3 linked regions of the Pelodiscus sinensis genome follow. The protein of the gene in region 2 interacts with the protein of the main gene of each other region in a pairwise test. Links are inferred from orthologs where the notes say so. Each region holds a gene or a part of one and is shown on either strand. Other genes may lie near its edges. The genes, in order: CDKN2C, AHCYL1 and SLC23A1.

What was found.
Region 1: the proteins of AHCYL1 (region 2) and CDKN2C interact in binary tests that used the Homo sapiens proteins (3 or more experiments, as listed by UniProt). The two-hybrid records come from large-scale screens. The link is inferred for Pelodiscus sinensis from reciprocal best matches to the Homo sapiens genes AHCYL1 and CDKN2C.
Region 3: the proteins of AHCYL1 (region 2) and SLC23A1 interact in binary tests that used the Homo sapiens proteins (3 or more experiments, as listed by UniProt). The two-hybrid records come from large-scale screens. The link is inferred for Pelodiscus sinensis from reciprocal best matches to the Homo sapiens genes AHCYL1 and SLC23A1.

Annotation. Positions count from the first base shown.
Region 1 is NC_134719.1:8,339,759-8,349,675, reverse strand, and holds the start of CDKN2C (cyclin-dependent kinase 4 inhibitor C), read right to left. Parts: upstream 4,461-9,917; 5' UTR 4,160-4,460; coding exon 4,031-4,159; intron 569-4,030; coding exon 188-568; 3' UTR 1-187. UniProt on the Homo sapiens protein: Interacts strongly with CDK6, weakly with CDK4. Inhibits cell growth and proliferation with a correlated dependence on endogenous retinoblastoma protein RB.
Region 2 is NW_027465886.1:178,199-188,618, forward strand, and holds the start of AHCYL1 (S-adenosylhomocysteine hydrolase-like protein 1), read right to left. Parts: upstream 3,911-10,420; 5' UTR 3,797-3,910; coding exon 3,689-3,796; intron 1-3,688. UniProt on the Homo sapiens protein: Multifaceted cellular regulator which coordinates several essential cellular functions including regulation of epithelial HCO3(-) and fluid secretion, mRNA processing and DNA replication.
Region 3 is NC_134727.1:3,245,445-3,256,219, reverse strand, and holds the start of SLC23A1 (solute carrier family 23 member 1), read right to left. Parts: upstream 4,656-10,775; 5' UTR 2,277-4,655; coding exon 2,241-2,276; intron 268-2,240; coding exon 178-267; intron 1-177. Other genes in the region: MZB1 (marginal zone B- and B1-cell-specific protein), read right to left, coding at 6,257-6,443, 7,187-7,291, 8,404-8,525.

The sequences.
Region 1 (9,917 bases), on a different chromosome or scaffold from region 2:
ATGGCAGGTGCAGGAAATGCTATTGGTGTGATTTTTAAATATATTCACTGTCTACAAAATCTACACCTTTGCAGTTTCACTAGACTTGCACTAGTTACTTAAAAAAAAGAAAAATGTTTCAATAAATGTTATTCAAAACAAGGGCTAGAAGCTCGTAGGTCCAAGTAAGAAGTTGTCCGTGTTTGATTTAATTCATGTCTGCAGCTTCTGCACTTAAACTGCTGCTTTCCATTAGTTTAACTATATCGTTCTTCTTGTACAGCTTGGCCAAGTCGTAGGCAGTGTAACCCTCCTTGTTCTTATGGTCCACCTTGCTTACTTTGTGCTTAATAAGGAATTCCACTACTGGGAGGTGGCCTTCTTCAGCTGCCAAGTGCAACGGCAGGTTTCCCTCATTATCCTCAATGTTAACATCAGCGTTAAACTCCAGTAAAGTCTGCACCGTGTCCAGGAAACCCGCTCTGGCTGCATCATGAATTACAGCGAACCCAGTACTGTCTTTCAGATCAGGATTAGCACCTGCATTTAGCAACTTCCTGGCAATTTCAGGATTCCCAAGTTTCATTACCTAAAGAGGAAAAGATAAGAGTTTAATCCTGTAAATAATTTTAGAATTGCTCGTTTCACTCACTTTAGAATCTTAATTTTTATATTTGAGCTTTCTTCCAGAGGGAGACCTATTTTATCTATGCAGAGGAAGCCCGTTAGAAAATTAATGTGAGGGGAAGCGTAACTTTCTAATTTCTGCACTAACCACAGTAAATTTACGATTAGCTGTATTGTTCCAGTGAGAAATATCTTCTTGAACTACAGAAGATTAATGTCAAAATTAGCTAGTATGGAATATTGAGGTTATCTTGCTTTTTATAATACTGCCTTTTCATCTCAGTCTTTTCATTGCTAAAAACTATATATAGGTCGGCTTCACTTACCATGAATATCTAGAAAATTTCATTTACCTCTTTAAACCCGTTAAGTGTAAGATGGATGACTTTCTGAGGCTCTGATATTGTATACTTTCAATAACACGAAATGGGATAAACTCTTCAATGGAAGTGTTTAAATTGTCTGTTTCTTGTCAATAAGTGTCAGTATGATCGTATAATGTGCCGCACTTCTCTCTGCAGAAAATAATCCTTTCAGGTTTTCTGCAAGAGCTATGGTTCATTGTGTGCTGCCCAAAATGGAGAACTTAAGAGCAACGACTTAAAGTTCACCTAAATTATTGTAAAAAGAAAGATTTATCTCATAGCTTCATAATTTTAGTCTAATCTGTGAATGTGTGCTGTTAAAAATAACCCATGGTAGAAAAGAGCGATCAGTGTTCCTAATGATTCTTTTTGTTAAGTAAAACTTTATTTCTTTATCATTAACCTATTATAAGTGAGCACATGGGCATCTCTGATTAGGAGTTTGAGTGGCTTGGCCCGACCCCAAAATTCGCCAGAACTTCTGTCCCTTAGCCTTTAAAATAATGAAACAAGATAGTTCTTAATTTCCGACGTTGCAGGCTGTGTAAGACTTTGCATTCAACTGCTCTAGCAAGGAGACAATTTTATTAACAACCTCGATAAGGGAAAAATACTGCCTTTACTTCTTTAGAACATTTTTAACCAATATCTTGAAAATCTTGCTGTCTTTCACTAGCACCAGCTGATATCTTGAAAATCTTGCAAAGAGCTTTTTATTATTAGCATAAACAAGGATTACAGTTGCACTAAAGTAAACACAAATTACAAATTCTACGAGGCATTTGTTGAAAATGTGTTGTTACTGAAAACAAATGTGAATTAGGTTTTGTGGGGAAAGGCACATATACATCCCCTATATTATAATATGTGTAACAGTACTGAATCTACAAATCGGATTGGGGAAAGGTTATCTGGGATAAGTGATAACTGAATGTTTCCTACATATTACCTGCATTCCTTTCAACTAGAGAGTATAAAAGGTACAGCTATACTTCTGGAAAATAAGCGAAGGCATCGTCCTCCTTTCTTCCTTTTTTCAGATACCTTAAACGTATCTGCAATTCTTTTGGGGAGCCCATCCTCGATTCCTTGCTCACTCGAAAACTTCAGAGTGAGTTTTGAGTAAGCAAAGATGACAGGATATGGCACTGAAAGGCAGCACTTGAAGCCGAAAAAATGAAATAAATGTATATATTATATAAAGGTAATGCTAGGCCGATTTAGGCTAGAACTGTCTCTTCAAATATCAATTATTTTGTAATTTGGGGGCGGCAGGGGGTAATGGGGTAAGACATAAGATCTTTAGAACAAATCTGAAGGAGGTCAAACTGGAAACTCAATATCTAAGGCCTGCATGAGTACTCAAAGTCAAAAAGAAAATGAAGAGGATATATTTATAAAAGTAGCTGTTTACATTAGCATATTGGTATAATAAAATACAATTTCACTTTCATCCGGTTCAGTACCGAGTGAACAATATTAGAGAATGTTGACTGAAAATATTCTTGAGCTCTGTCACCTACCCACAGCATGTTTCAGGTTTATACATACTGAAAATAAGTAGCTAGCCAACTCTGTTTTGATTTGTGCTATGGTTAATCAAATCGGTTATGATTAAGCTGCAATTTAAGTGACTATCTTATGTTTAAGATAGCTGAAAATGTATGTCACTGTGTAGAATATTTCCCAATGTAAGTCCGTTATTTTGAAGCCTTACATTTACTTCAGTGCAACTGTATTTTTCAGCCTCATTTTAAAGATAAAATATTGGCTAAACATTTCCTGATTTCCTAACAGAAGTTAGTTTGTCTCCGTTTTTTATATAAGCTCTTTCATTCTCTAATAAGGTGTCTGCGCGTCTCACAAGTCCCACACCTATGTGACAATAGTAATAGCAATAATATTGCAAGGATAATCGCATAGTTCTTGAGCTTCAGTGAAACAGAAAAATAAGAATTATTATTGTGTTCATACAAGAATTTCCTCTTTTCCAGAGTTTAATTTTGATTTTAAGCCAAAAACGCAGTAAAAATCTGGATTTCAGTCTCAAATAATACAGTGTCTGAAAGGAACATTTCAGCAGTTCGCATTTTAAAACAAAAACACGTTTTTAAAACTGTGAACTTAACCCCCCCCCCAATTACTCTAATTTCACATTTCCCTACATTACACTGTACATTGTAAATTGCCACAGAATTTCAGCTCAGGGAACAACTGCTTGTTTCACGTTTTCGTCTGTATTGTAACATTTTCACCATCATTATGATGCTCTTAAATAAAGAAAACTTTACTCAATTTCAGTATTTCGCAGTTGGATGTGTTCCAACTACTGCCTGTACATCTAAATATTGACCATTAAGCCAAACAATCTTATAGCCTCAGAAATGAAATATTTTGAGTCCATCCACTAGGGTCCTGATTGACAATACTATCTTTATTGAGCCTTAATTATGAATGGCTCGGCAAGTGATTCAAACTGAAGTCTAACTCATTCGTCCAGTTGCTAATGTACATCTAAAGGTACGGAGTGCCCGTGCAGCATGTTTCCAAATGCAGAAAGGTCATTCGTCAAAAACATCGTATAAAGGAAAAGCACCATTCACTCCAGAATAAATAATCGCGAACATTAATGGTTTAAAAACACTCCGTATAAAAATACAACACAACACCTCGAGTAATAAGACCTATGTGTTTACAAATCGTCTCTGAAACAGGGCTCAGCTAGGATGTTTTCTTTTCATATCATCCACCTTTTCCTTGCCTTCCTTCCCCTTCCCTCAATATTAAAATTGGATTAAACTGGCAGCCTATTTGATATTGAGGATGATCCCCGTTTAAAAATAATGGTTTTGGCCAGTTTTATTACAAGTACGTCATTTTAGGGAGTTGGAGCCACTAAAGTTATAAAATATGGCAACCAACTAGGTTAAAAAATACAGAAATTCTGTACACCAGCCTAGTTAGAATCGGGCTTTCTGTAACGCGGGTCACGGAGGTAGCAGTGATGAAATATTTCTCTCTCTCTCTCTCTCTCTCTCTCTCTCTCTCTGGATACCAACCTGCAGCGCAGTCCTCCCAAATCCATTTTGGGCATTGACGTTTACAATCTTTTGCAACAAATTAGTAAGTTGCACTAGGTCCCCCTTTGCAGATGCGGACGTCAAATCGTTCACCAAAGGCTCGGCCATTCTTTAGGGTGACTGACGATCGAAAATAGGTGAGTTTGGGGGAGTTTTTAACCAGGCATGGCATCGGAGACTGACAGAAGTACTGGGATGGTTAATCTTCGGGAGTAGACCTTGTAGTAAATACTCGTAAAAAACTGTTTGCCAAGAGCCCGCCCCTAAATTCACACGTGATTATTCAGCAAAAGTGCAGTTCCACTCGAAAGAATATTTCTTTGCTTCTACATGCAGAGCAACTCATACCGAGGACTTTGGCCACGTTAAAGGGGAAATATATTAATATTATAGAATATATTATATATGTTATAGGTAACATATATACACATACCTAGGAGACTGACTCACGCTAAAGAAGAAAACAACCCACCCTTATTCAAGTCGAGATTTGAGAATTCAGCAGGAACAACTTCGCAGAGAAATCTCCTGGAGCCGTATGGTTGCTTGGGGTCACCCCCTTCACTGCAGCCAGCTGCGTTTATTTCAAGCCAAGTACGAGGGGGCGAAAAGCCCCGGGAAGAGACAGCAGGAGGCAGATCCGCCGCACAGTTCACGCACTAGCTGCCTTGGCTCAGGAGAAAGCGTCCGCGGTCTCCAGCTGCCGCCGCCCTAGGCGCAGACTCAGCGGCCCCCAGCAATGGTTGCCCGGTGCAATCGGAAGGGCACCGGGCCCGCAGACGGCGCCCTCCCTGCGGCCGTGAGAGGGCGGCTGCATGCCTGTGCCAGCGCCTCACGGGAAGGCGGAGAAGCCCAGCGGCGGCGCGTGCTCCATCCAGCCGGCCGGGGGACACGGCGGCGTCCCGGCTGCAAGCCACGGGGCGAGCCCTTCCCGCCTCCGCCGCGCCTCGGCCCCGGGGCTCCGCTGGCTCTGGCGATCGCGGCGTCCCTCGTTCGCTTTGCTGGGCTCGCGGGCGGCGCTGCTCCGGCCCGGGGCGAGCTGACACAGACCGGGAAGCGCAGGTCCGGCTGCGCCGCCTCCCCAGCCCTGCAAAGCCGCCGCCTCAGTGACAGCCGCGACCCGGCTCCGCCAAAGCCAGCTGCACTTGCCGGGCGGAGAGGGGGGGGGCTGGCGCCCCCGGACCCCAGCCCGCTTCTGCCTCTCGCCTCCTCCGGCTGCTTTTCACCTCATCAGCTTTTTTTGAAAAGGGGGAAAATTTGAGCGCTTTTTGAGTTGAAATACCCGCCCACATTTTAACGGCAGAGATTTAAGGAGGCCCGGCGGAGTTGCCCAGCGAGCAGGAAGGCCTGCGTCGGCGCGCACCCTCCGCCCCTTCGGCTTGGCACAGCGCGCAGGCCCCGGCGGCCCGCGGAGCGCCAGTTTGCACACTCGGCCCCTGGTGTCTCGCCCGGCGTCCACCAGCGCCCGGGAGCAGCACTCCCACCCCCTCCGCGCCCCGGCTGGCGCTGTGAGAGGCCGCTGGCGAGGCCTAGCGAGGAGCTGTCCCTTGACACCGCGGCAGGGCCAAGCCGTCGCCCGCGGGCTGGTGGGGATGACTCTGCGGGCGCGCTGGTGCCGCCCGCCTGCCGCAGAAATATCACCAGGCGACAGTCGTGCAACGCGCTCGAGCGGGGCTGGTAGGAACTAGTTCAGGACCGAGGTGCGTGTCCATGAGCAGCCTGCTAGTGGGCATCCTTAGCCGCCACCTGCCTCCGCAGGCCATAGCAAGGTAACAGGAGCCCGATCCTTTTTCTCAGGGAAGCAAACGTAAGACGCGCCACTGAAGTCAGCGCGAACAGCGTCGGGCCAGCCGAGGGCCACTGTCATCCCGCAAGGAGGCGTTTTCCAGGTCTCCTCACTAGGGCTTGCTCCCTAAAGACAAGGTCATGGCTAAAAGGGCCAATGTCAAGGTATTCTAACTGTGAACTGCGATAACCCAGGGCCGAAACCTTGGCTTGGCTTGTCTCTAGCATCCTGGAACACCTGAAAAGTGCCAGGTTAAGTGAAAAGTACCAGGGCTCTAATGCAAGAAATGAGGGATCCTCTTGTATATCAAAGCAGAAAGAAGTTGCGATGAGAGGGCGTGAGGACTTTATGTGCCGGAGGTGGCGAAAATCAGTCGAATTGCAGACGGTTTTGAATCCTGAATTGCTCTACATTTCCGTGAGCCTTAAAGCTTCAGTTCCACGAAAGTATCCTGCAGTTTCAGGACTCCCACTAAGCATAAAGTACACCTGATATGTTCCTTTGATAAATACTGTGTCGCTCTACTGTCCATGCACAAGCAAAATGTTCCTTTTCATGAAAACGTACATACATTGACTGGCTAACTCAGAGAGATGCCATTGAATGGATCTGTTTAAAAACAACACCAGATAATCAAAGACGCCGGTCCTGCCCTCCAGACTAGGCAAAACTCCCATTGACAACAGTGCAAGTTTTGTGTGCGGAGACAGTGCAAATTCAGGGCCTGATTTAAGATGCCTAATGCTAGACATATCATTTGTTTTTAAACGGACATGCCCATCTGAAAGTTACAAAGCAGAAGTACTGCTTAGACATCTCCGTCTCGTGGCAAAGTTCACTGCCACATTTTCCTATTTTGAATTTTTTTCTTTTCTCTATTGTTTTCTGAAAAACTGATACAAGCAACGGGAAACTGATGAACGGGCAGATACACAGTGAATAGCACAGGAAAGAATGAAACTATTGTCTACTTGTTATCACATGCACAGCAAATAAGATGAAAAAAGAGCACATGTTTTTAAAATTCTGTTATAATAAACCTAAGTGTTATAAATTATAAGAGTAACAATTTTCTAGGCAGAAGTGTGTTTTTTAACTCCCTTCAAAGTTAATTCTAGAAATAAATATTTTCAATAATACAGGCTTTCTGAAAACAGGCATTTAATATACAATGTTATTTAGACTACTTTGTTTCACTAAGTAGTTTGTAAATACATTCTGCGCTGACTTACTCCTAGTTCAAGACTGTTAACTTTAATTGAATCATACGTAGGTTAAGTCATTGCAGAATTCGACCCCAAAATGTTATATTCTCTCACTACTTTTTGTAAATGACTCTTAAGAAGAATAATCCTTCTTTCAGATACCAGAAGATAAAATGGTTTACTCTGAGACACGGAAGGCCTCCCTTTCTCCCGCCCCCCATCTTTATATTGACCAGGCAAAAAAAGTAGCATCATCCCACCTGCTGCCTTTTAGGTCCTTTAAAATGTTTGTGGAAAGGAGCGTGTTGTTTTTAATTAATTACTGCTAACAATGCTAAAGAGACATTTTATAAAACAATATACTACACAAACATAAAAACGCCCTCTGCCGATATACAGTAATCATCGAACACCGCATGGAGCACTGCAATCGCTTACCCACCTGATTTCCCTATCTTCCCAGGACCTTTTCTAATGTATCCAGTATGTGTAGGAAACCCCAGTTTGGGGCTTATTGAAGAGTTCTGAGTAGTAAGGGGAATAAACGAAGCTATATTATTGTAATCTGGGCTTCAAGTGACATAATTTAGGTTTCGCATTTTCATCTGTTCTTCTCATTTTGGCCCGATCCTGCTCTTTATTTCATGTAAGATGGATACTTTTCGCTTCAAATACTGCTCCCTAAGCACTAAGGTAACTAACTTTTGACTACAGCTGATGGCCGTGAGTAATATTGCAGCGCTATTTCCTAAACTACAGTTTTAAATTACTACAGAAAATAGTTGGCTTTAGTCCAATGTATAAAACTTGCCTTTCAGCCTTTATTATAATTATTCTGTGGTACTATGTGGGTAGATTGGTTTGCAGTTGAGTATATATTGTCTCTGGTATTGAACCACATAGTATCTATAGTACAGAGTTATCTGTAATGCCAAGCAGTGGAAAAGAGATAATGTGTCAGTAGTAGGTATGTCATCTATTAATTCTGTAAAGTTAAACTAGAATTATTAAACCAGCCACGTGTAATATATCTCTAAAACCTGCCACCAGCAATTGAAACAGGAGCAGGACGAAGTAAAATACCGTGTCTGAATGGTATATTTTTCTTTCCATCACAAGTAGGGCTTTGATATTGTCATAGTTCATCTTGAAATTCTGAAACTATTGTCTAGTCATATGAAACAAAACAAATGCATCATAAAGATCACCGTTCTTATTAGTACCTAGCAATGTGCCTTAATAATTCTATGTCCTGCTATCTTACTGCTTTCTTGTGGGCAAATGGTCTAACCTCCAGGCAGATTCAGTAAAACGTTTCCATATTCTTCTGCAGCTTGTAACTTGCGTGTGTAATGGGTATTTAACCTCTTTTTCTTTAATGGCTTCCACTGCGGCTTGTTCTTTTCCTGTTTTCCCCTCCCCTCTCCCTTTGAGTATCAATCCTACCATTATTTTTCTGATGATCAGCAGGAAGCATATATATTCTGATTAGGCTTGTATATATCGTCTTACAAACGGGAAAATAAGATATAGGGATCTTAAAATAGAAAAGAATATAGTAATGTAGATCTTGCCCATCGTGTAATTTTAGGAAGGCTGCGACTGAGTCTGTGATGGATGGCAGCGAAGTGACTAGAAATGATATAAGGCGTGAACAACCCCCCCCCCCATTGGATTAATTAGCCAGTTAAAGAGTCAAATTGTGCATATATAGCCAGAGGAGAGATGGAAAACATTTGGGGACATATATTTAAAAACAACAAACAACGCTGAAAACTAGGACTTGTATAAGTGTTATAAAACAAGTTTAGTGATATGTAATGTCCCTGAGACCTAAAGTATTGTTCTGGGAATCCTAAGAGTAAGGGCTATTATGCATATTAACAGCGGTTGGGTCACAAACCTAAGTCAAATTTGTTGTTTCCCATATGAGAGGAGTTACTAGGACTGATAAATGAATCTTGCATATCTATCCATTCCTTGTCTTTTTTTCTTATTAAAAGGAAGTCACTGTCCAGTTTATAGAAAATCATGTATCATCTAAGGAAATGATTATTTAAGGAACAATTAATCTGTCTTGGAGCTGCTTCATTGTATTTATGTATGTCAATTAAAGCACCTGTTTTATCTGTATCAATCTGTTTATATATAAATCAACTAGATATTGTAGTACAGAAAGGCAAAATTACCCCAGTGCTGCATTAATTATGACCACATCAGATAGCTAAAACACCTTTAGGGGGTGTTCTCTGTGAGAAAAGCATTTATTTGTGGGAGTGTATTTGGAGGAAGAAATGGTGCCTTGCTTAGGCCTCAATCAACAATAATGATTTAATGTTTCATCCTATGACTCATTGAGTAACATAGTAATTCTGGCACACATCCTAAATTTACAACATAAATACACCTAGCTCTTTGTCATGCTAGATGGTGACAAGTAATCCAGGTCAAATTGGTGACCAATGTTTCCTGTAATTTTTTTCATCCATGGGTGGAATAAATTTTATGTGCACCAAGGCATGTGCAGATGTGCACCACCACTAGAAACACATGCTGCAGGCTGTAGGCATTCTGCTAATCAGGTGGATGGCATTTGAACCTCTCCTGGGCATCCACCCAAGTGCTCACTCAGTTTACACGGTACCCTACTGGTGACAGCCAGAAACTACATATAAAGAAATACCCTAATCACCATACTGACGAGATGTTTAAAAAATCAAGTAATATTTGCCATTCATGTAAAACTTTGTCAAAATGTGAAGCAGAATGGATTAAGTTAAAATAAATCAAGATATTAAATCTCATTGAAAAATAAAGCAGCCATTCATCATCAAGGGGAGCTACTTCAAAGGTGACTTTTAATTCTGACATGCAT
Region 2 (10,420 bases):
TGTAAAAAGGCACACAGAAATCACACCAACTTTGCACTCACGGAAATCAATACAAGCCTCGAGAAGGAAAGAGGCTTGTTAATGGTTATGATTTTGTGGAAAGTGAGATAAGCTGGAGGCACTTAGCATTGTATACTTTGGCGTTTTTGCCAACGCCTCTGCTATCAGTGCTAGTCTCAATCTCTGGTTGGGTAGTGGCCTGGAGCACTGATTCCTATTGATGGCAATGCACCTGCACCCAAGATTTCACTGGCTACTGATGTCATCAGTCTCAGAGGACATTCGCTGCATGTCCTGAAGTGCTCCCAGCAGGCCCCTGGCAGCACTGTAACCAGACAGCTGCACATCAAGCTATGAAACTGCAGCGGATTCAAGGGGCTATCATTACGGCCCACACACATAGAATCATAGAATACTAGGACTGGAAGGGACCTCGAGAGGTCATCGAGTCCAGCCCTCTGCCCTCATGATAGGATCAAGTACTGACTAGACCATCCCTGATAGACATTTATCTAACCTACTCTTAAATATCTCCACAGATGGAGATTCCACAACCTCCCTGGCAATTTATTCCAGTGTTTGACCACCCTGACAGTTAGGAACTTTTTCCTAATGTCCAACCTAAACCTCCCTTGCTGCAGTTTAAGCCCATTGCTTCTTGTTCTATCCTCAGAGGCCAAGATGAGGAAGTTTTCTCCCTCCTCCTTGTGACACCCTTTTAGATACCTGAAAACTGCTCTCATGTCCCCCCTCAATCTTTTCTTTTCTAAACTAAACAAACCCAATTCTTTCAGCCTTCCTTCATAGGTCATATTCTCTAGACCTTTAATCATTCTTGTTGCTCTTCTCTGGACCCTCTCCAATTTCTCCACATCTTTCTTGAAATGCAGTTCCCAGAACTGGACACAATACTCCAACTGAGGCCTAACCAGCGCAGAGTAGAGCGGAAGAATGTCTTCTCGCGTCTTGCTCACAGCACACCTGTTAATGCATCCTAGAATCATGTTTGCTTTTTTTCCCAACAGCATCACACTGTCGACTCCTATTTAGCTTGTGGTCCACTATAACCCCTAGATCCCTTTCTGCCGTACTCCTTCCTAGACAGTCGCTTCCCATTCTGTATATGTGAAACTGATTGTTCCTTCCTAAGTGGAGCACTTTGCATTTGTCTTAATTAAACTTCACCCTGTTTACCTCAGACCATTTCTCCAATTTGTCCAGTTACGAGCATAAGAACGGTCTGACCAAAGATCCATCTCGCCCAGCGTCCTGTCTGCCGGCAGTGGCCAGTGCCAGGTGCCCCAGAGGGAGGGAATAGAACAGGGAATCACCATGTGATCCCTCCCCTGTCTTAGAATGAGTCCTTTTAGAGCTCCTCTCACAAGAACAAGATTGAGCTAAACCCTATGCATCCTCACATTAAAGGGAGGGCTGTCCCACACTGCTCACCACCCCTGCTGTAACTGCCACCCCCACACCCCACCCCCACCATGGGATGCTTATGTGTTACAGCGTATTCATCTGTCATATCACTGCCACACTACAGCTTATGTGGGCACAAGCCTCAGGCTATACTTCCATCTCTATTGTGCAAGATTGCAAGGAGATAACACTCAAAAGAAGTGTTTGCTTTACTTCTCTCAGAAGCATGGTTACAGCTGCAGAATCACCTCTGGGGAAAAGCAGCTCTTAGCCTCTGCATTCTTCTGCTCCTTGCTCCAGGCTATATCCACTGTCTGCATAGATACCATGCACAGAAAGATCCATGGAGGGCTTGTCACTGGCAGCTGAATGCTAGTTATTCAAGATTAGGCAGAAGGGGATGTCTCAAATGCAAATGATTTAAAAGGCCTGTAGTACCTCCGCCCTCTAAAATTCCAGCACCTATGCAAACAATCAAAACTTTCTCACAGGAAGGCTTTGCATTTCCAGTGGCTGAGCACGCTAGTGTTTTTCCCATTTACTCTGTTCAAGTCCTAACACTGAGGCATGTGGCATAACCCTAGGGGAAAACATGATATTCAATACAGCCGGGATCTCCCACAGCCAGTCTAGATCCCAGAGTCCCCACTCTCTTGACACATGCAAAGTTAAGACCTGAAATTCACCATAAGTGCAACTCTACCAGTGGTGGCTACAGCAAAGAGTTTTTACCATCTTCTTGTATAATCCAACTCAGACAAAATTGAGATGATGGAGAGGTAAAAGCCTCAGTAACCAAGTCTGAGGACTCTCACCTTTGCTAGCACTGAGCAGCTGATGGGAGAATTTCAGTCATGTTCTAGGTGAAGAGACAAGAGGGGAATGCTGAGCACAGAGAGCACTCCAGGAAGCTTTAGAGCTGCATCCCCTTCAAACTTGCCATCAGATGGGCCCTTCTCTCAAAGCTGCCCTCAAATCCCTCCTCACACTGGTTGCCCACACTTGTCCACTGCACCCACAAACATACTGCTCCCGAAAATGCCTGGCTTGCTGTATTCTTGAAATATTCAGGGGATATTTAATCACATCTCCTGGGCTTCCCTACACCTTGCTGTCATGACCCAGTTCATAAGCTACTGGTACCTTCCTCCCAGCCTCAAAGCCATCCTCCAACCCACTCCCAGGTTGCCTTCCTGCTGACCCTGAGATCATAGAAGATAACTTGCCCAGTTCAAATCAAACCTACCCACCTGACTCATGACAGACACCTGTACAGGGCCATCACAATTCCCCCTCACACCCACCCTACAAAGCTTTGTGAATTGTCCTCCCTACAACTCCAGGACACTCCATCCTGCAAACAGCTTCCCCACCCACATCCTATGGGCAGCCGCTCCCCCTGCTCCCCTTCCAGTGCAACCCATGGGAGTCACAGCAGGTGGCCAGCTCCCCTATGACCTGTAATCCCCACTGCCAGGTACATGCTGCCAGTTCACAGGCCTTTACCCTCACCCACCCCTACTTGGCAGCCGGCTTGGATATGCTGCCAACAGGATCTCAAGAGCAGAAGCCCATCACCACTACCCTCTGTACCCCACCCCCGAACTGGATAGCCCTACCTGGAACCAGCCTCCCCCCACTCGCCACCCTCCCACACAGATCCTGAGCCTCCTTCCCCTTCGCCCCCACCTCCCCGAGTCCCCTTCGGCCCCTGCGGCCCCCTTCCCCACCGCCCCCCCACACTTCCCCAAACCCCCTTCCCCACCGCCCCCCCACACTTCCCCAAACCCCCTTCCCCACCGCCCCCCCCACACTTCCCCAAACCCCCTTCCCCACCGCCCCCCCCACACTTCCCCAAACCCCCTTCCCCACCGCCCCCCCCACACTTCCCCAAACCCCCTTCCCCACCGCCCCCCCCACACTTCCCCAAACCCCCTTCGGCCCCCGCGGCCCCCTTCCCCCCCGCCCCCCCACACTTCCCCAAACCCCCTTCCCCACCGCCCCCCCACACTTCCCCAAACCCCCTTCGGCCCCCGCGGCCCCCTTCCCCCCCGCCCCCCCACACTTCCCCAAACCCCCTTCCCCACCGCCCCCCCACACTTCCCCAAACCCCCTTCCCCACCGCCCCCCCACACTTCCCCAAACCCCCTTCCCCACCGCCCCCCCACACTTCCCCAAACCCCCTTCGCCCCCGCCCCCCCACACTTCCCCAAACCCCCTTCGCCCCCGCCCCCCCGCATCCCCCTTCGCCCCCCCGCCCCGGTACCTTCTTGGGCGCCTTGGTGACCGTGGCCAGGAACGAGAACTTCTCGGCGGCCTCGCTCTCCTTGGCCTGCTTCAGCTCGTCCCCGCCGGCCGGGTCGGGCAGCGACATGGTGGCGCGGGGGGGGGGGGGGGGGGGGGGGGGGGGCGCGGGGCTCAGGCAGGAGGCTCCGGCTCCGAGCGCTCTGCGGCAACGGGACTGCGGACGCCGCGCGCTCCGGCAGGGGGTGGGGCTTGCAGCGGCGCACGCCACACGTCACACGCCGAACGGATGGGGCGGGGCCTGACGTCACGCGGCACGCACGGGCCGGGAGGGGAGGCCGCACGCACAGAGGGTAGAGCTCGCGGCGGCGCCCCCTAGCGGAGGAGAGTGGGAGCGTCCCACCGCCTCCACGTGGCGTTGCAGCGGCCAGACCTAACGGGGGCGGGGGAGCACGTGGGGCTGAGCCTAGCACTGGATTTCCTGTCCCAGTGGGCACCACTTCCTCTGAGCGTTGGGGGGCTATGTGGGTTGGGGGGCTGACCAACCATGAAGAGGGGTCTCACCAAACAAAATGGCAGGTGAAATTGAGCGCTGATAAATGCAAAATAATGCACCTTGGAAAACATCTCCTTAAATGTAGGTATGAAATGGTGGGATCTGAATGACCTGGTCCCGCCCAGGAAGGGGGTCTTGGAGTCATTGTGCATGGTTCCCTGGAAACACCCCACACACTGTGCAGTGGCCGTGGGCATAGCGAAGGCTGTGTCTACATTGGCAAGATTTTGTGCAAAAGTGGTTGCTTTTGCACAAAAACTTGCCACCTGTCTACACTGGCCGCAAGTTCTTGCACAAGAACACTGACGTTCTAATGTGTGAAATCAGGGCTTCTTGCACAAGAACTCTGGCGCTCCCGCTCAGGAATAAGCCCTCTTGCGCAAGAGGGTCAGTGTAGACAAGCAACATGAATTTCTTGCACAAGAAAGCCCGATGGCTAAAATGGCTACCGGAGCTTTCTTGCGCAAAAGAGTGTCTACGCTGGCACAGATGCTTCTGTGCAAAAGCACATCTCTTGCGCAAAAGCACATGCCAGTGTAGACGCTCTCTTTCGCAAATACTTCAACGCAAAAACTCTTGCGTTAAAAGTATTTGCGCAAAATCTTGCCAATGTAGACATAGCCTAAGAGAACATTGAATCATTAAGAAAGATTAGATAACCAGACAGGAACTAGCTTGCCATGGTAAGTTGTGGTGGGCCAAAAAGAGTTAAATCCAGCCCTGGGAGAGGCTGTGGAGCAAGCAGATGTGGCAGAGAGCAGCCAATTAGGGTCCAGCATGGGCTGTATAAATAAGGGCTCCCCAAGGGAGGAAAGACTCACTCTTGAGTCAGCAGCAGGGGAGCAGGAGGGGCCTGGCTGCCAGGGAAGCTGGAGGCTTCCTGTGACAGAGCAGGCTGGGGAAAGGCAGGCAGAGCTGGGGAGCTCGGGCCTGACCTCACTCCCAGATTGCAGGGCCTTAGGCAAGGCAAGGCCTGAGGGCATTAGAGCTGCAAGGAGACAGCTAGGATAGAAGACCACAACCAAGGGCACCATTTAGGGAAGTTAGGGAAGCAGTAGCCCCCTTCCCCCCCGGCTACATCCACAGTGCAGGCGTCTTGTACAAGAACTCTTTTGCACAAGAGGTCTTGCACAAGAGTGCATCCACACTGCCATGTGCTTTTGCACAAGAGCGCCCATGGCAGTGTGGACGCTCTCTTGCGCAAGAAAGCTCTGATGGCCATTTTAGCCATAGGGGAATCTTGTGCAAGAAACCCCTGTTGCTCGTCCACACTGCCTTCTTGCACAAGAGCTCTTGCACAAGAGGGCTTATTCCTCGTGGGGAGAGGAATAACTCCTGCGCAAGAAGCCCGATGTTCTACTGTAAATTTACTTGCACAAAAATGCGCATGCAGTGTAGATGCTCCGCAAGTTTTTGCGCAAGAACAGATGTTCTTGCACAAGAAGCCTGCAGTGTAGATGTAGCCCTAATGTTTGAATCCCTGGTTTTCATTCTTGAGGCCTGCTTAAAGCTGCAGCCCCTGGTTCCAGACACAGTTCTTAAACACAACAGAGTTTGAGCCGCTTGCAGCTTTGCTTTTGGGCAAGGAGCTTGTAAAAAGAGGGAGGCTGGTGATTAAGATTAATGAAAGACTGGCCATTCAAATAATTGAAGGATCATTTAGATCATAGGTTTCCAAACTGGGGGGCGTGAAGAAATTCCAGGGGGGTGCAAGGTGACCCAGCCCCCCCGAACCTCCCCAAGAAAGACCCCGTGCTGGCATTACCTCACCCAAAGTTCATCTTTAACTGTTTGTTTTGCGCCGCAGCTTCCCGAAGTCTCCCTCCCTCCCTCCTCCCGGGGCTACAGACTCGCCCCAGAGCCACTTGGAAAAGGTGCTAATTTCCCCTGGACAATAGGGGCCACGGAGCTTGGCTTTTTGAATGATCATTGATTTAAAAGGCTCAAACGGGGGCAGACTTGCAAACAGCTACCAATTCAAACTCAGGAAGCAGCCCAGGGAATAAGTAGCACACGTGCTTCCTGAGACCCCGGACCTGGTTGCAGGACCCCCAGGTACCAGCTTAGCTGTCCTCTCTCCTCACCCAGACCCCTACAAGTACCCTGTCCCCCATCCAAACCCCCACGAGTAACCTGCCCCCCCTCCCCAAACCCCCACAAGTACCATGCCCCCCACCCAACCCCCCTGAGTACCATGCCCTACCTTCTACCTTTTCTCTCGGCTGCCATGTCTCCTCCCCTTGCTCCATCAGCTCCCCCGGTGCCTGCTGCCCCCAACCCCTCACCCTCCTCTGCTGTCCTGACTCCTGCCCTTCTCACTGCCCTCAGCCCTCCTGTGACCTGCCCCCCTCCACCAGCCCTTCTCTCCCCCTGTGCCCACTCCTCCAGTAGCCCCACTCTGTTCATGTGAGCTACCCCTCCTCATCCCCTCTCCTAACACCTCCCTCTACACACCTGCCCTGCCTCTCTCCTCTGGTGCTGGTCCCTCCCCTGCAGGTGTCTGCCCTCCTGCTCCACCCCCAGAATCTCTTGGCCCCTGCACCCTCCCTCACTGCCCCTGCCCCCTTTGCCCTCTTTTTCCCTGATACCCACCCCCTCACCACCCTCTGCCCCATTCCCCTCATGCCCCTATGCCCTCACAGATGCCTTGCTCCATCCCCGCCTTCCTCATGCCCACCCCTTCTTTTAAGCCTTCTCCCAGCACCTCCCCCTCCCCCCTCTAGCCCCCAATGCCCTTCCCCTCTCCTCTCCCAGCATCACCCTGTCCCCCCTCCCACTGACACCTCCCCTCCTGCCCTTTCCCTCGTTGTCTGCACTTGGCCCCCTGGCGTTTGTCTCTCCTGCACCCCCATCCCTTGGTGCCTTCCCCTTTCTTCTTCTTCTTCTCCTGACCTCCCCCTTCCCCTCCCTTCCTCTCAGCACAAGCCCCTTCCCCATATTTTTCCCCTCCCCACAGCCCAGCCCAGCCCAGCCCCTTCCCCTGCCCCAGGGCCAGCTCTAGGTTTTTTGCTACCCCAAGCAAAACATTTTTGGCCGCCCCCCCTTTGTTGTTGTCTTTTATACATGTTTGCATTTTGCGATGGGGTTTTCTTTGTTTGTTTTTGTTTTTGTCCCGCATTTTAGCCCTAGAAATAGCAAATAGCATTTTCATTCGGTTTTTTCCATAAAGGCAAAGGCGCTTCAAGTGAACTCCCCCTTCCACTCTCTGCTGGGTCACAGCAGCCTTTTCCCTGCCCTGTCCAGCCCCTCCCTATGGGCAAGCACCCTTCACTCCGACCCACAGGGGGAGCAGGGTGCAGGGGCAGCACAGAGCCAGAGGAGTGCAGGGAACAGTGGGGGAGTACGGGGGTGGCGCGGGGAACGGGAGGGGCAGAGGGATCGGGGTCTGGGGCAGTGCAGGGAATGGGCAGCACAGAGCTGGGGGGGCAGGGATCAGGGGGAGCAGGGTGTGGGGTGCAAGGGCGGCGCAGAGCCAAGGGGTTGCAGGGAAGAGGGAGAGCAGGGGGCCCGGGGAGTAGTGGTGGCGTGGGGAACGGGTGGCACGGAGACAAAGGGGGAATGGGGCCATAGCAGGACTGGGGCTGGCAGGGCGGGCCCTGGCTGCGCTGTGTGCCGTGCGCCGCAGCCAGCTCCCAGGGACACGCGGCCAGAGCCAAGCTACCGTGGCTCTTTAAAATCAGCGGGGCCACGTCACACCAGCGTCCTGGCGTCCCGCCCCGCCCCCTCGCGCTGGAGCTACACGCAGGCAGCCCGGTGGCAAGAATCGCTGCACTTCCCCCTTCCCAGCAGCGCTGTGCTCCTCCACCGGCCAGTGCAGGCTTCGGCCAGCCCATCACAACAGCCCACCAGGCCAGTCCACCCCTGCACTCGCCAGCTGGTAAAATCTACTCATTGCAGGCAAGCAGATTGCATTATTTGTCAAGCCCTCTCTCTCTCTCTATATATACACCCTTTCGAAGTATAGGGGAACCAGTTTGGTTGGTGGGGAGGCCAAAGGACAATGTAGAAGGAAATGAAACTTTTTCAAACTTTCTAGCATGCTTGCGGGACTGTTCTATCGTGGGAGTAAATTAATGGAGATGCCTATCTCCTAGAGCTGGAAGAGGCCTTGAAAGGTCATTGAGTCCAGTCCCTTGCCTTCACAGCAGGATCATGTACCATCCCTGACAAACTTTTGCCCCAAATGGCCTCCACAAGGATTGAACTCACAGCCCTGGGTTTAGCAGGCCAATGCTCAAACCACTGAGCTATCCCTCTTGCTTGGTTACTGGTGGTGGGGTATATATAAGATAGTACGCGTCCGTACGTAATAGTAGTAGTAAATAAATGTTTGCAATAACTTATCAAAGTAACTTGTGTCCATTAAATTTATTCTAATTGGGAACATTATTTTTATAGTTTGTTTTAAATTAATATATTATGGCTGCGATTAAGAAAAGGAAGTATGATGAAGTCTACATGAAATATGTCTTCACTGTCATGGGGGAAAAAAAGATCCATCATTCTCCATGTGTAGAATGCCACACAGTTCTTAGCAATGACGCCTTGAGACCTAGTTGTCTTGAGCAACACTTGGCGAAGAACCACAGCACTTTGACAGACAAACCAAAAGAGTTTTTTGCTGCTAAACTTCAAAATTTGAAATGCAAAGCTGGACACTATTGGAGCTTTTCATCAACCATCGGCCAAAGAAGTAGAAGCTTCTTATGAACTGTCATTGCTCATCGCTAAAGCCAAGAAAGCGCACGTAATCGGAGAAACGCTTGTGAAGCCTTGCTTGTTGAAAGCTGCTGATATTGTGCTTGGTGTCAAAAGCAAGAAAAAACTATTGGAAATTTCACTTTCTAACAATTCCTTGAAACGTCTCATCGATGAGCTGGCGAAAGTTCTTTAAACTTCAAGTTGTGGAGGCAGTGTTGGCTTCTTCTTTTGCAATTCAGTGCAACGATACCACTGATGTAGCACAATGTTGTCAGTTGCTTGTCTACGTTCAATTCATTAATAATGGAACTGTGAAAGAAGAACCGCTTTTTTCGAAGGAATTGATGACCACATCAAAGGCTTCTGATATTATGAAAACGATTTCCGACTTTTTTGAAGAAAATAGACTTTCATGGGGAAAACTGGTTGATGTATGCCCAGACAGTGCTCCAGCAATGCTTGGCTCTCACTCTGGATTTGTAACGCTGGTGAAAGAAAAAAATTCAGCCGTAACCTCAACTCACTGTGTCATAAACAGACAAGCGTTGGTTACTAGAACCCTTCCAGATGACGTATGTGACTCATTGAATTTGGCCATCAAATTTGTCAATTTTGTGAAGAACAGCTCTTTAAATACAATACTTTTTTATGTCCTTTGCACGGATTTGGGAGCGGATCATAAAACTCTTTTGTTTCACATGGAGGTACGATGGCTTTCCAAGGGTAACATGTTTTCGAGATTATTCTAACTGAAAGACGAAGTGGAAGGCAACAGAAGAAAGAAGAGTTATATCATACATTTATGGACCAAACATTTCAACTTTCACTGGCATACCTCGTGGACATTTTTGAATCTTTGAACAACCTCAATTTGAAGCTGCAAGGAAACAACGCTGCAAACATTATAGCACACCACGATGCCATCGATGCATTTATGGAAAAAAATCCAGCTTTGGAAACGTCAAACACAAGCTCAGATGCCTAACTTTTCATCTTTTCTGACATTTCATCGCTCACTGAAAATGAAGGTTTCCAAGAAGTTTGTAAAGAGTACATGAAGAACAAAATTGTGTTTCATCTGGACTTCCTTGCTGACGAATTCATCCGCTATTTTCCAGACAACTTTTCTGGCAACCCCATTCATAAATTAGTATACAAATCCATTCAATGTTGATGTTGATTCGTTGCCAGAAGTATTGCCAGAACAAGCACTCAAAATAAAATATGATTCAAGTGAGAAAGATAATTTCAAAACACAAGCTTGAAGGAATTTTGGATAATGTACTCAAAAGTTGGAGAAGAAGCACCATGTATTATTCTTCCATTTTCATCAACGTCCCTCAGTGAAAAAAGCATTTCAAGTTTACTCACATTAAAAACAAAACAAAGAAAACGACTGGATGTCAAAAACGATTTGCATTGTGCACTTTCATCTTTCAAATCTAGGATTTCCCAACTCATAAAGAAAATGCAGCAGCATCCTTCACATTAAATTCA
Region 3 (10,775 bases), on a different chromosome or scaffold from region 2:
GTTCCGGGTGCCGATGTCGCCACAGCAGCAACGGCCGAGCCGAGGGCCATTTTGAATCGCTGGGCCCAAGGGCAGTTGCCCTCTGTGCCCCTCCCACCGTCGCCGGGCCAGTACCTCAGCTAACGCGAGCGGCGAGCGGCCGCCTCAGCTGCCCGGCATCTAGAGCGCTGACCTCACCTTGCCCTTGCTCGCCGGCTCCTTCCCATGCGAATTCTCGGTGAGGATTTCGGGGGCCCCCTCTTGCCGGGCCAACGCTGCGTTTCCATTCTGCGATACCCCAGGGACATGGAAAACAAAGCAGGTCACTGCTGAGAGACCCTGCAGGCGGGCGCACCGTCCCCAGGAACAGAGGAACCCAGCGCAGGATGGAGAGCGCGTCGAAAGGGCCCGCCGTCTCCGCCCACCCTGCGGGTGGTGGTCCTCCGAAAGCAGCTCCTCCGTTTTGGGAACCCCAGAGAGACTCCCCATGCGCAGAGCCGGTCTGTGTTTGCACGCCGGGCTGAATGCCATCGACGGACATTGCAGGGAGCAGCAGCGTGAGCCGGGACAAACGGAGCCGCTCAGTAATAGTGTGGTGTGTGCGTCTCCTCTGCAACACCCGGCAGCAGCGCGGCTCACACCCCGGTTGCTGGCCTCGAAGCTGAGCCGCTGTAACTATAGGGGTGTAACACGGTAGTCGAGCGGTGTAGTTAAAGTGGTACAATCGCTCAGTGTGGACGCAGCTAAACCAGTATAAATGTGCTTACACCAGTATAGCAAGCCCTGTACAGGAAGGGGAATGAGTGATACTGGAATGAGGTACCTTTATACTGGTACAATAGCATCTCCTCTCGGGTGTAGCCGTATGGCTGTATCAGTGAAAAATCTCGCTCCCTAACAATAACAGCTATCTATGCCAGTCGGTGTGTACACCAGGCCTTAGAAATGCAGAGGTTCAGTACAGAGAAACCAAATGGCAGGTACACAGCTATATAATATCCCTCCTTAAAATAAATGAATGGAATTAACAACACTGTCACTGTTTATATAGCATATTTAAAGCCCTTTACAGAACACTAATTAACCAGCAGAGCACCCTTAGGAGATAGTAGTGACTTATTACCCCCATTTTACAGATGGGAGATCCAAGGCAGAGAGAATAAGTGACTTGCTCAAGGTTTCCCAGTCCGTTGGTGTCAGCACTGGGATTAGCAGGAGTTCCTGGTGCTCAGCTCACTCTCCCCTCACTAGTAACACTGATGGGGTTTGGCTCATTGCTATGGAATACACTAGTGTTTAACACCCCTCCCCATGCACACACGTGTATACACACACACACGCGCGCACACACACACACACACACACAAGAAGTTGGAGCTTGAAGAACTGCTATGCCACATTGTAAAGCAGTTATACTAAATCTGCCACAATAGGGCCCAATCCTGTAGGGCCCAATCCTGCAAGGGGCTGAGCCTGCTGCAGGGTGTGCGTGTGTGCTCAGTGCACTGCACACCCGGTATCTGCAGTGGCAGCTGTATGTGCTCAGCACCAACCAGCATCAGTCCCTGTATTGCAGCAGCCCTTAAAAATAAAGCCCAGTTCCTTGTACATTTACCTGAGAAAACCCCCCAAGAGCCCTGACTTTCTTGGATCCCCTTTCTCCATCTGTGGCTCTTGTCCCCTGGCGCCTGATCTCCAGTCTTGGCCTGCATCTTAGAACCTTCCGACCTGGAGTCCCACGGCTTTGGCTGAACCCAGAAGCGGGGTGAAGGGGGAGGGGGGGAAGCTGCCAGGGTTCCTGGGGCGCGTCGAAGGGGGCAGCTGCCCAGGGCGAGGCAGGCCCCGACCAGGCAGGGCAAAAGGGGCTCGCTTGAACCTCATCTCCTCTGACTAGTGAGTTGCCGTTTGAGGAGCCAAGTGCTCCATTCTGGGGTGGCGCAGCAGCTTCACCCCTCCCCGTGGGCCGAGTCTCTTCCCCCTCGCTCCTAAACCCGCGGGCATCCCGGGAGGCCTCCTGTTTGCTCAGTCTGTCCAAAGGGACGCGCTTGGTGCCATCTGGCTTCCCAAGCCAGTCAGGGGATAGCAGCCTCTAACTTCCCACGCCCGGCTGAGAAAGATCCTGCGATCGCTGCCCTCTGCCCCCGTCACAACCCACACAGCTGGTTTCTCAGCCGGTTAAACACCGTAAGCAGGGAAATGGATGCATCTGGGGAGTCGGGACGGGAGGGGTGAAATACAGGAACAGCAAACATCACAGTCACCTGGGGCTGAGACAAATCTTCCAAACTGGTCCCCATCACCTGCAGAGCGGCACCGAGCTTTCCCCCGGCCCTTTGGAGAGTGACGCTGTTTTATGGCCGTGGGGAGGACTTTAGTCGGTTCACCCGACATTGTTCCTGGAGTCAATCTGTAACCAGGGCGCTTGGCTGCGGGTTGGGAAAGAAACCAGAGCTGTGTTTTTAAAGATAATCTATTAACTCCATGAATTGTGCTCGGCCTCGCGGGGGGTGAGGGGAGGATGCGCAGCTGTCCGAAGGCTTGTTGGTTTTTCACAGCTCCTTTTGTGAAGACAGGCGAGAGCTGAGTTACAGAATAACTGGCTGGTTCATAAACAGACTGTTCACAACCCCTGCCAGCTTAAGAGGTATCCACCTACAGTCGGCTTCCCCTGAAGCTGTGCAGAGGCAACGCTAAAGAATGCGAGGTTCCCAATGTCCATCCCTTTGGGCTAGGCTTGCCCCGGGGTTTGGCATTATATAGACAGGCCCGTCCTGGGCATTTCAGGGCCGCAGACATCACGACTGTTTTACAAACAGATACGCGACTGGCCAGACAACAGCCCCAAACTGTAGACAAGTCAGCTCGGAAGCTACGTGCAGATCCCAGTCTTGGCTTGGACTAGGCAGAAATGTCGTAAGACTAACGCCCCCCCCCCATCACAAGCTTGGCAAACGTTTCTAGTGTGGACCTGGCATATGGCGCAGGACACGGCAGCCGCTTCTTCCCGTCCACGTCTCTTCTTGCCATCGCTTTGAAATAACGATCCTGACAAAACTTGTGGATGGGGGAGGGGGGGAAACATTAGCACCAGGTCCCCCACTTCGCTGCCCAGTTGGCACAGCCTATCTCCTGGGGCGCTCTGGCCCCACCCCTCTCCCAGACTGACCCTTAACATGGCCTGATGATGCTGGTTCTAATCTGTTCCTGGCTCTTGGCGGCTGCAAGGCAGAGCACCAGTCCCCTGCTCTTTGGTGGCGTTGAGCCTGGTCCCAGTAGCTGACCATCCACCAGCCCTATAGTGGCCAAGGGCTGAACGGGCCACGCAGCCCACGCTCCCCTTTGCCACGAGCGGTCAGGCCGGGAGAGCAGCACGGTGATGGGGAGCACGGGGGGAGCTAGTGCTGCCGGGGGCCATGCTGCGAAGACCCAGGCTCATTGGGCTGCAGGGCAGGAGGCTGAGGGGAAGGTGTGAGCGGCCCAGCGCTTGTGCTGCTGTTGGGAGTCTCTGCTCGCTTGCCTACCCCCGATTCACACGGATCTCGCTGGTAGCCCGTTAGTGACAAAGGTTGCTATGACATTACGTATTAACTGACACATCAGCTCTGAGGAATGTTTGCCGATGAAGGGGGGGGGCGAATGTTCTCCGGGCCCAGGTGAGGACAGGGGCCAAGACTATGGGAAAGGACAAAGTGTCCTGGGTCCACTCACCTGGCGGCTCCGGGGACCTGCTCCTTCTGGGTCTAGCACCCACTGGGTCTGCGCCTCACTCACGCTCCCTGTCACCTCTCCCCCCTCCATGTGTCAGGAGGCTCCCTCCTCGTGGCTTGTCCCTCCAGCCACGTCACTCTGGTCCCCCCCCGGGATAGCAGAGTCCTGTTGAACAGTGGCCTACACCACTTCTAACCCAGCCCACGCCCTCCATTTCCATCCACGGGCCCCATGGGTAGTAATCATGGTCTTTCTCCCAGCCCCTGTTGCTGTTGCCCTGGTCTCCTCCCTACATCTTCTGGCTTCTCCCCGGGGTGACTGCAGACTGCTTTCCCTGCAGCCCCTTTCTGCCGCCAACGTCCTGGCTTTATCACAGGCCACCCGCTCCTTCTCAGCTGGTTCCATCATCAGTCGGCTTCTCAGTCCCATGGGGGTGGGGTGGTGGACAGCTCAAACGGCAGACAGCAGAATTAGTCACCGTTAATCGCCCGCACAAAGAGGACGTCTCTCTATTGGGGCATCCCAAGGGATGGCAAATATGTGGTCCAGGAAAAGGTGGGGGGAGCTGCTCGGCGTGGAATCCCGTCGGGAACGAGAGACTCCCCATGGGAAGCACTGCAGCGCTTGAATGGTTGGGAACCGGCCCGGGCAAAGGCCTTGCAGGGACCCAGGGTGGCTGGGCTGCACCAGCTTTTGTACCGTTGTAACGATAAGCAGCAGGGTAACTGCACCCAGACTGGGAGCTTGGCGTTATAGTGACACAAAGACCATGCGCAGGCCGGGCCCAAAGCACAATCCTGCGTTCACCTGAGACATCTCTAGTTTCTGGTGGCCGCATCCTCTACACGGGGAAAAGTCCAGCTGGGGGCACAGCCCTACCAGAGCTGTTCCAGTCATTCCCGAAGAGCCTGGGAAGAACAGTGCTCCGGCTGGGGGTTGGGCCCTCTCGTCCTGTAAACGTTGCTACGTCTTGCCCAGTTCTATGCCCCCCTCATGGAGGCCCAGCGGGTTTGGGGTGCTGCCCACTCTGCTCCCACTGGCAGTTTTGAACTTGCAAATGAAACCCCAGATTTAAATATCCCGGGCGTCATTTGCATGTTCCTGGGCGGGCGCCATTTTTAAATGCCCGTAGTTTGAACTACCTGCCCGCGGCTACAAGGAGGTTTAACGGTAGTTCGAATTAGGAGCTTTCATTTGAACTGCCTAGTTCGTGCCGCGTGTAGCCGCAGGCAGGTAGTTCGAACTAGGGGGAGTTAAAAATGGCGCCTGCCAGGGAACATGCAAATGAAGCCCGGGATATTTAAATCTGGGGTTTAATTTGCAAGTTCAAATGCCTACATTAGTCACCCTAGTTCGAACTAGGCTGGCAGTGTAGACATACCCTAAGGTGCCACAGGACTCCTCCTTATTTAAATACGTGAGAACCAGTGGAAAACCACGGGCCATTGATTTATACTCATATAGCCAGTAAAATGTATTACTCAGAATAAGTACAGACAGGAACCTGAGGAATTCAACAACAAACGTACATGATCCCCACGACTCAGTACGGGAAAGGAAATCAGAGCGACCTCTAAGGAGCTGGGACTTCTAAACCTCAGATGGGGTGTAACTATTTCAATATAGTGAGATTATATTATCTCTAGTGGGCAGCAGGTGGAAACTGTCAGGGTGCCACTGGCTACAGCCCAGCTCCGACTGACGCTGTGGGAGCTGTGGTAATTTACAGCGAGGAAATGCCACCAGGTACTCCTGGCATTGGATTGATATACGGGGTGTAATTATGTATGGGCACTGGTTTATTTTAGGGTTGCCCATAAATAATCCCTGGGCTAAGAATATCATTTTATCCGTATTAAGCTCCGGATGGTACATGTCGTTTTGTTCGGAAAAGGTTGCCTGGGTTTACATTTGTTTGTTGTTATTTGGTTGCCTGACTGTGTATTTTGGTTTGTTACTATGTGGTTGCCCGGATGTACACAGTGGTTTGTTATTACGGGGTTGCCCGGATGTACACGGTGGTTTGTTATTACGGGGTTGCCCGGATGTACACGGTGGGTTGTTACTACGGGGTTGCCCGGATGTACACGGTGGTTTGTTATTACGGGGTTGCCCGGATGTACACGGTGGGTTGTTACTACGGGGTTGCCCGGATGTACACGGTGGTTTGTTATTACGGGGTTGCCCGGATGTACACGGTGGTTTGTTATTACGGGGTTGCCCGGATGTACACGGTGGGTTGTTATTACAGGGTTGCCCGGATGTACACGGTGGTTTGTTATTACGGGGTTGCCCGGATGTACACGGTGGTTTGTTATTACGGGGTTGCCCGGATGTACACGGTGGTTTGTTATTACGGGGTTGCCCGGATGTACACGGTGGGTTGTTACTACGGGGTTGCCCGGATGTACACGGTGGTTTGTTATTACGGGGTTGCCCGGATGTACACGGTGGGTTGTTATTACGGGGTTGCCCGGATGTACACGGTGGTTTATTACTATGGGGTTGCCCGGATGTACACCCCGTCAGCGTAAACCTACTGTCCAGTCTGGGCTGTGCAGGAGCTGTGCTACAGCTCACTCTGCACAGCCTTCGCTTCATTTAGGCTGCCGCCCTGGGCATCGCTAAGTCTTGCACAGGCTCTCTGCTCTCTGGAGCACAGGAACTCCGCCAAGGCGTCCGGCCTGCGTCGGTACTCCTCGTAAATCTGCTCCTCCCCGAAGTCGCCCAGGTAGCTCTGGCACAGCTTGTAGAGCCTACAAAAACGAGAAACGGAAAGAGGACTCCACGGTATCGTTCCAGCAGGTGCCCCCAGAGGGCGCTGTCCCTCACAGTCCGGCGAGTCGTTTGTCTCACTGTGAGTTGGGCCGTGCTCTGGTCTTGTTTCTTCTCGGGGCTGTTGCAAGCAGCGAGCAAGTTTGCTCTCTGCCGTAATCTCCCGAGCTGGCGCTGGGCACTGGGGCTGAAAGATGCTATTGCCCGAGTGCTGTGTGAGCACCGCAGGGAGGGTCAGCGAACACGAGACACTGCAGCAGTATCCAGGCTCGGGGCTATGGATTTCCCCGCCAACGTGCCTGGCTCCCAACCCTGCTGCTGCTTGGCAGGGCGCTGGCACCGTTCCACCTGGGAAAATGGGCCGCAGGGCCCGACGTGTAAGTGCCATGGGGAGCCAGGCCTGGGAGCACGCTCGGCGGCTGCCCTGTCGCCTTTGCTGCTCAGCAGGAAGTGGGGGTCAGGCTGGTCCCTGCCTGGGGGCGAGAGCCCCGGGGCACCCGCCTAAGCCCCGTTTCCATTTCCTCTGGCGGGCACCATTAGCAGAGCCTCGTTTGCCACAGGCAGTCCAGTTAGCACCCAGAAAAACAGCCAGCTGGCTTCCAGGGGGGCCGCCCCCCACCCCCAGCAGGGAACTGCACGTGGTGTTTCCAGCCTGGCTGCAGCCACCTCCCTGCCCCCGCCTGCTCCTCCCCAGCCCCTCACTCCTGCCTGCCTCTGGGCTCACCTCGTGGGCCACGGGCCGCCCGTCATCATCACACTCACGGTCTCTTCGCTCTTCAGGCCTGGCCCGGCGAAGCGTCGCACTCCCCCCACTTCCTTCACGCCGTAGCTGGGGAGAGAAGAGGGAGCCCCCATAGTCACGGAGCAGCTGCTCTGCATAAACCCCAAGCTTCCTGGGGAAGGGGAGCGTGAGGCTGCGGGGGCGGGGGCGGGGGCTGGCGAGGGGAGGGCCCCTCAGGCTCTTCCTGTGGTCACTGGCCTGAGAGCAGAGACCATTCTCCCCGGTTTGCATCCCTCCTGTTCCATGTCAGGCCCCCCAGGGATTCACCCGCAGCTCAGTGAACCCTGCTGAGCATGGCTCGAATCTGAGCCCTGATGAGCATGGCCCAAAGCCCAGAGCTGAGCCCTCGTGGGTAGTCACGGGACGGCAGGAGGGGCCAGTGGGGCAGTGGCGGGAAGGAACGTGGTGGGGTCATGGGGCGGCGGGAGGGGCCAGTGGGGCAGTGGCGGGAGGGAACGTGGCGGGGTCAGGAGGCGGTGGGAGGGCCCCATGGGGCAGTGGCGGGAGGGAACGTGGCGGGGTCAGGAGGCGGTGGGAGGGCCCCATGGGGCAGTGGCGGGAGGGAACGTGGCGGGGTCAGGAGGCGGTGGGAGGGCACCGCGGGGCAGTGGCGGGAGGGAACGTGGCGGGGTCAGGAGGCGGTGGGAGGGCCCCATGGGGCAGTGGCGGGAGGGAACGTGGCGGGGTCAGGAGGCGGTGGGAGGGCCCCATGGGGCAGTGGCGGGAGAGAACGTGGCGGGGTCGCGGGGTGGCGGGAGGGGCCAGTGGGACAGTGGCAGGCAGCCAGCACGGGGAGGGCACACTGGAGACACACCTCTGTCCGTGTGAGGGTGCTGCCGCGTGCTCCCCCAGACCACGCCCAGGGCGGGGTGCCGCCCCTCCCCACCCTCACTGGAGCGCTGAGAGCCGCAGGCGAGAGGAGGCGCTGGGCCTGGCCTGCCGGAGGGCGGGGATAAGCAGCGCCCGGCACTGTCTCAGTCCCGTCGGACGTTCAGAGCCGGCGTCTCCCCGGAAGCGCTCGGGGGGGTTAGCTTTGCGGGGCCTGGCCTGCCGCTCGCTGCCTTTCGGGGGCTGAGGAGGCGACGAGGCCGGGCTGCCCTGGGCAGAGACACCGGCCGCCCCTGCGTGCGAGGGCTTCCCGGCTCAGCGCGCCCACTCACTTCTCCCAGCTCTGCGAGCAGCTCCCCTCCAGCGCCTCCAGGTACTCAGACTCGCTCAGGCGCGCGCCCGGCGCCTTGGCAGACGGCCGCTTGGCTTCGGCTCTGGCCAGGTGCTCCTGCAGCTGCGGCACAAGACAGAGCCGGCTCACCGGGGCGGAGGGGTGGCAGCAGCCTTCTGGCGGGAGAGCGGCCTGCCCTGGCCGGGGACGCCCGACCCCCCACCCGAACGTGCTGCGAGCACCTAGAGTGTCGTGGAGGGGAGAGACCGCGCACCCACAAAGGAACCTCCGGGCTCTCAGGGGGCCTCGCCCAGATATTGAAACTACACGTGCAGGGCCCACTCCGCCACGCTGCCACGGCCCCTCGAGACCCCCTGCTGGGGTAAACAGGTGCTAAATGCCCCAGGCCAGCTGGCGTAAGCGGGGCCCTCTGCCCGCACCAGCCCCGTGGGAGCGGCGATGGGGAGCCCTGGCCCTCAGAAGAGCTGGGTTCCACTCGGCTCGTCCGACAGCCAGTCCCCGACTCCCGGGCTCGACTGCTGCCCTGCAGCGGGACCCCTCCCGCCCCCCAAGTGCATGGAGCAGACAGACAGACGCCCCCACCCTGCCTGCTCCACTCCATGCCCATTCCCGCCCTCTGCCCAGCTTCCGCCTGGCTCCTTCCCTCCCCTTCTGCCGCCTGCCCAACCGCCCGGCCTGGCTCGCAGGTCTCGGGCATCCCTGGAGGGGCAGGCTGGAGACGGCAGCCAGGCGTTGGGGGCGGGGGGAAGGCTGGACAGGCAGGGAGCAGAGTCCTGGGGAGGGCTCAGCTGCTGGCCAAGCGGCCAACTATCCTGCAGTTGCAGCTGGTGGCCACCAGGGGACAGTCACAAGCAGCCAGAAGGCCCCTTTCTGTCACCTCATGCAGCACCCCCTGCTGGATCTAAACAGGGAAGCAGCCGCTGGGGGTCAGAGAGTTGGGCACATCACTGGCCCCAGTGGCTCCCCCTCGGGCACCCACCAGGGTCCACCCCTCTCCCTAGCATCCCAGGCCCTCTCTAGAACACGCGCCCAGCTGGCTAGGGGCTGTGCAGCTCCGTGCACAAAGCTTAGACAGGCAGACTTTTCAAGTATGCAAATTAGCTCGTTCTCTAATCTGCTAAAAAGTGGGGAAACAGGGGGGGAGGGGAAGGGTGCCCAGGGCGCGGGATTGCTGTGCAGGGATGCCTGTAACCCCACTCTGCACGGGGTGTGGGTGGGTGCCCAGGGCGCGGGATTGCTGCACAGGGATGCCTGTAACCCCACTCTGCATGGGGTGTGGGTGGGTGTCCAGGGTGCGGGATTGCTGCACAGGGATGCCTGTAACCCCACTCTGCATGGGGTGCGGGTGGGTGTCCAGGGTGCGGGATTGCTGCACAGGGATGCCTGTAACCCCACTCTGCATGGGGTGTGGGTGGGTGTCCAGGGTGCGGGATTGCTGCACAGGGATGCCTGTAACCCCACTCTGCATGGGGTGTGGGTGGGTGTCCAGGGCGAGGGATTGCTGCACAGGGATGCCTGTAACCCCACTCTGCATGGGGTGCGGGTGGGTGCCCAGGGCGCGGGATTGCTGCACAGGGATGCCTGTAACCCCACTCTGCACGGGGTGCGGGTGGGTGCCCAGGGCGAGGGATTGCTGCACAGGGATGCCTGTAACCCCACTCTGCATGGGGTGTGGGTGGGTGTCCAGGGCGCGGGATTGCTGCACAGGGATGCCTGTAACCCCACTCTGCATGGGGTGCGGGTGGGTGCCCAGGGCGCGGGATTGCTGCACAGGGATGCCTGTAACCCCACTCTGCATGGGGTGCGGGTGGGTGCCCAGGGTGCGGGATTGCTGCGCAGGGATGCCTGTAACCCCACTCTGCATGGGGTGCGGGTGGGTGCCCAGGGCGAGGGATTGCTGCACAGGGATGCCTGTAACCCCACTCTGCATGGGGTGCGGGTGGGTGCCCAGGGTGCGGGATTGCTGCGCAGGGATGCCTGTAACCCCACTCTGCATGGGGTGCGGGTGGGTGCCCAGGGCGCGGGATTGCTGCACAGGGATGCCTGTAACCCCACTCTGCATGGGGTGCGGGTGGGTGCCCAGGGTGCGGGATTGCTGCGCAGGGATGCCTGTAACCCCACTCTGCATGGGGTGTGGGTGGGTGTCCAGGGCGCGGGATTGCTGCACAGGGATGCCTGTAACCCCACTCTGCATGGGGTGTGGGTGGGTGCCCAGGGTGCGGGATTGCTGCACAGGGATGCCTGTAACCCCACTCTGCATGGGGTGTGGGTGGGTGCCCAGGGTGCGGGATTGCTGCACAGGGATGCCTGTAACCCCACTCTGCATGGGGTGCGGGTGGGTGCCCAGGGCGA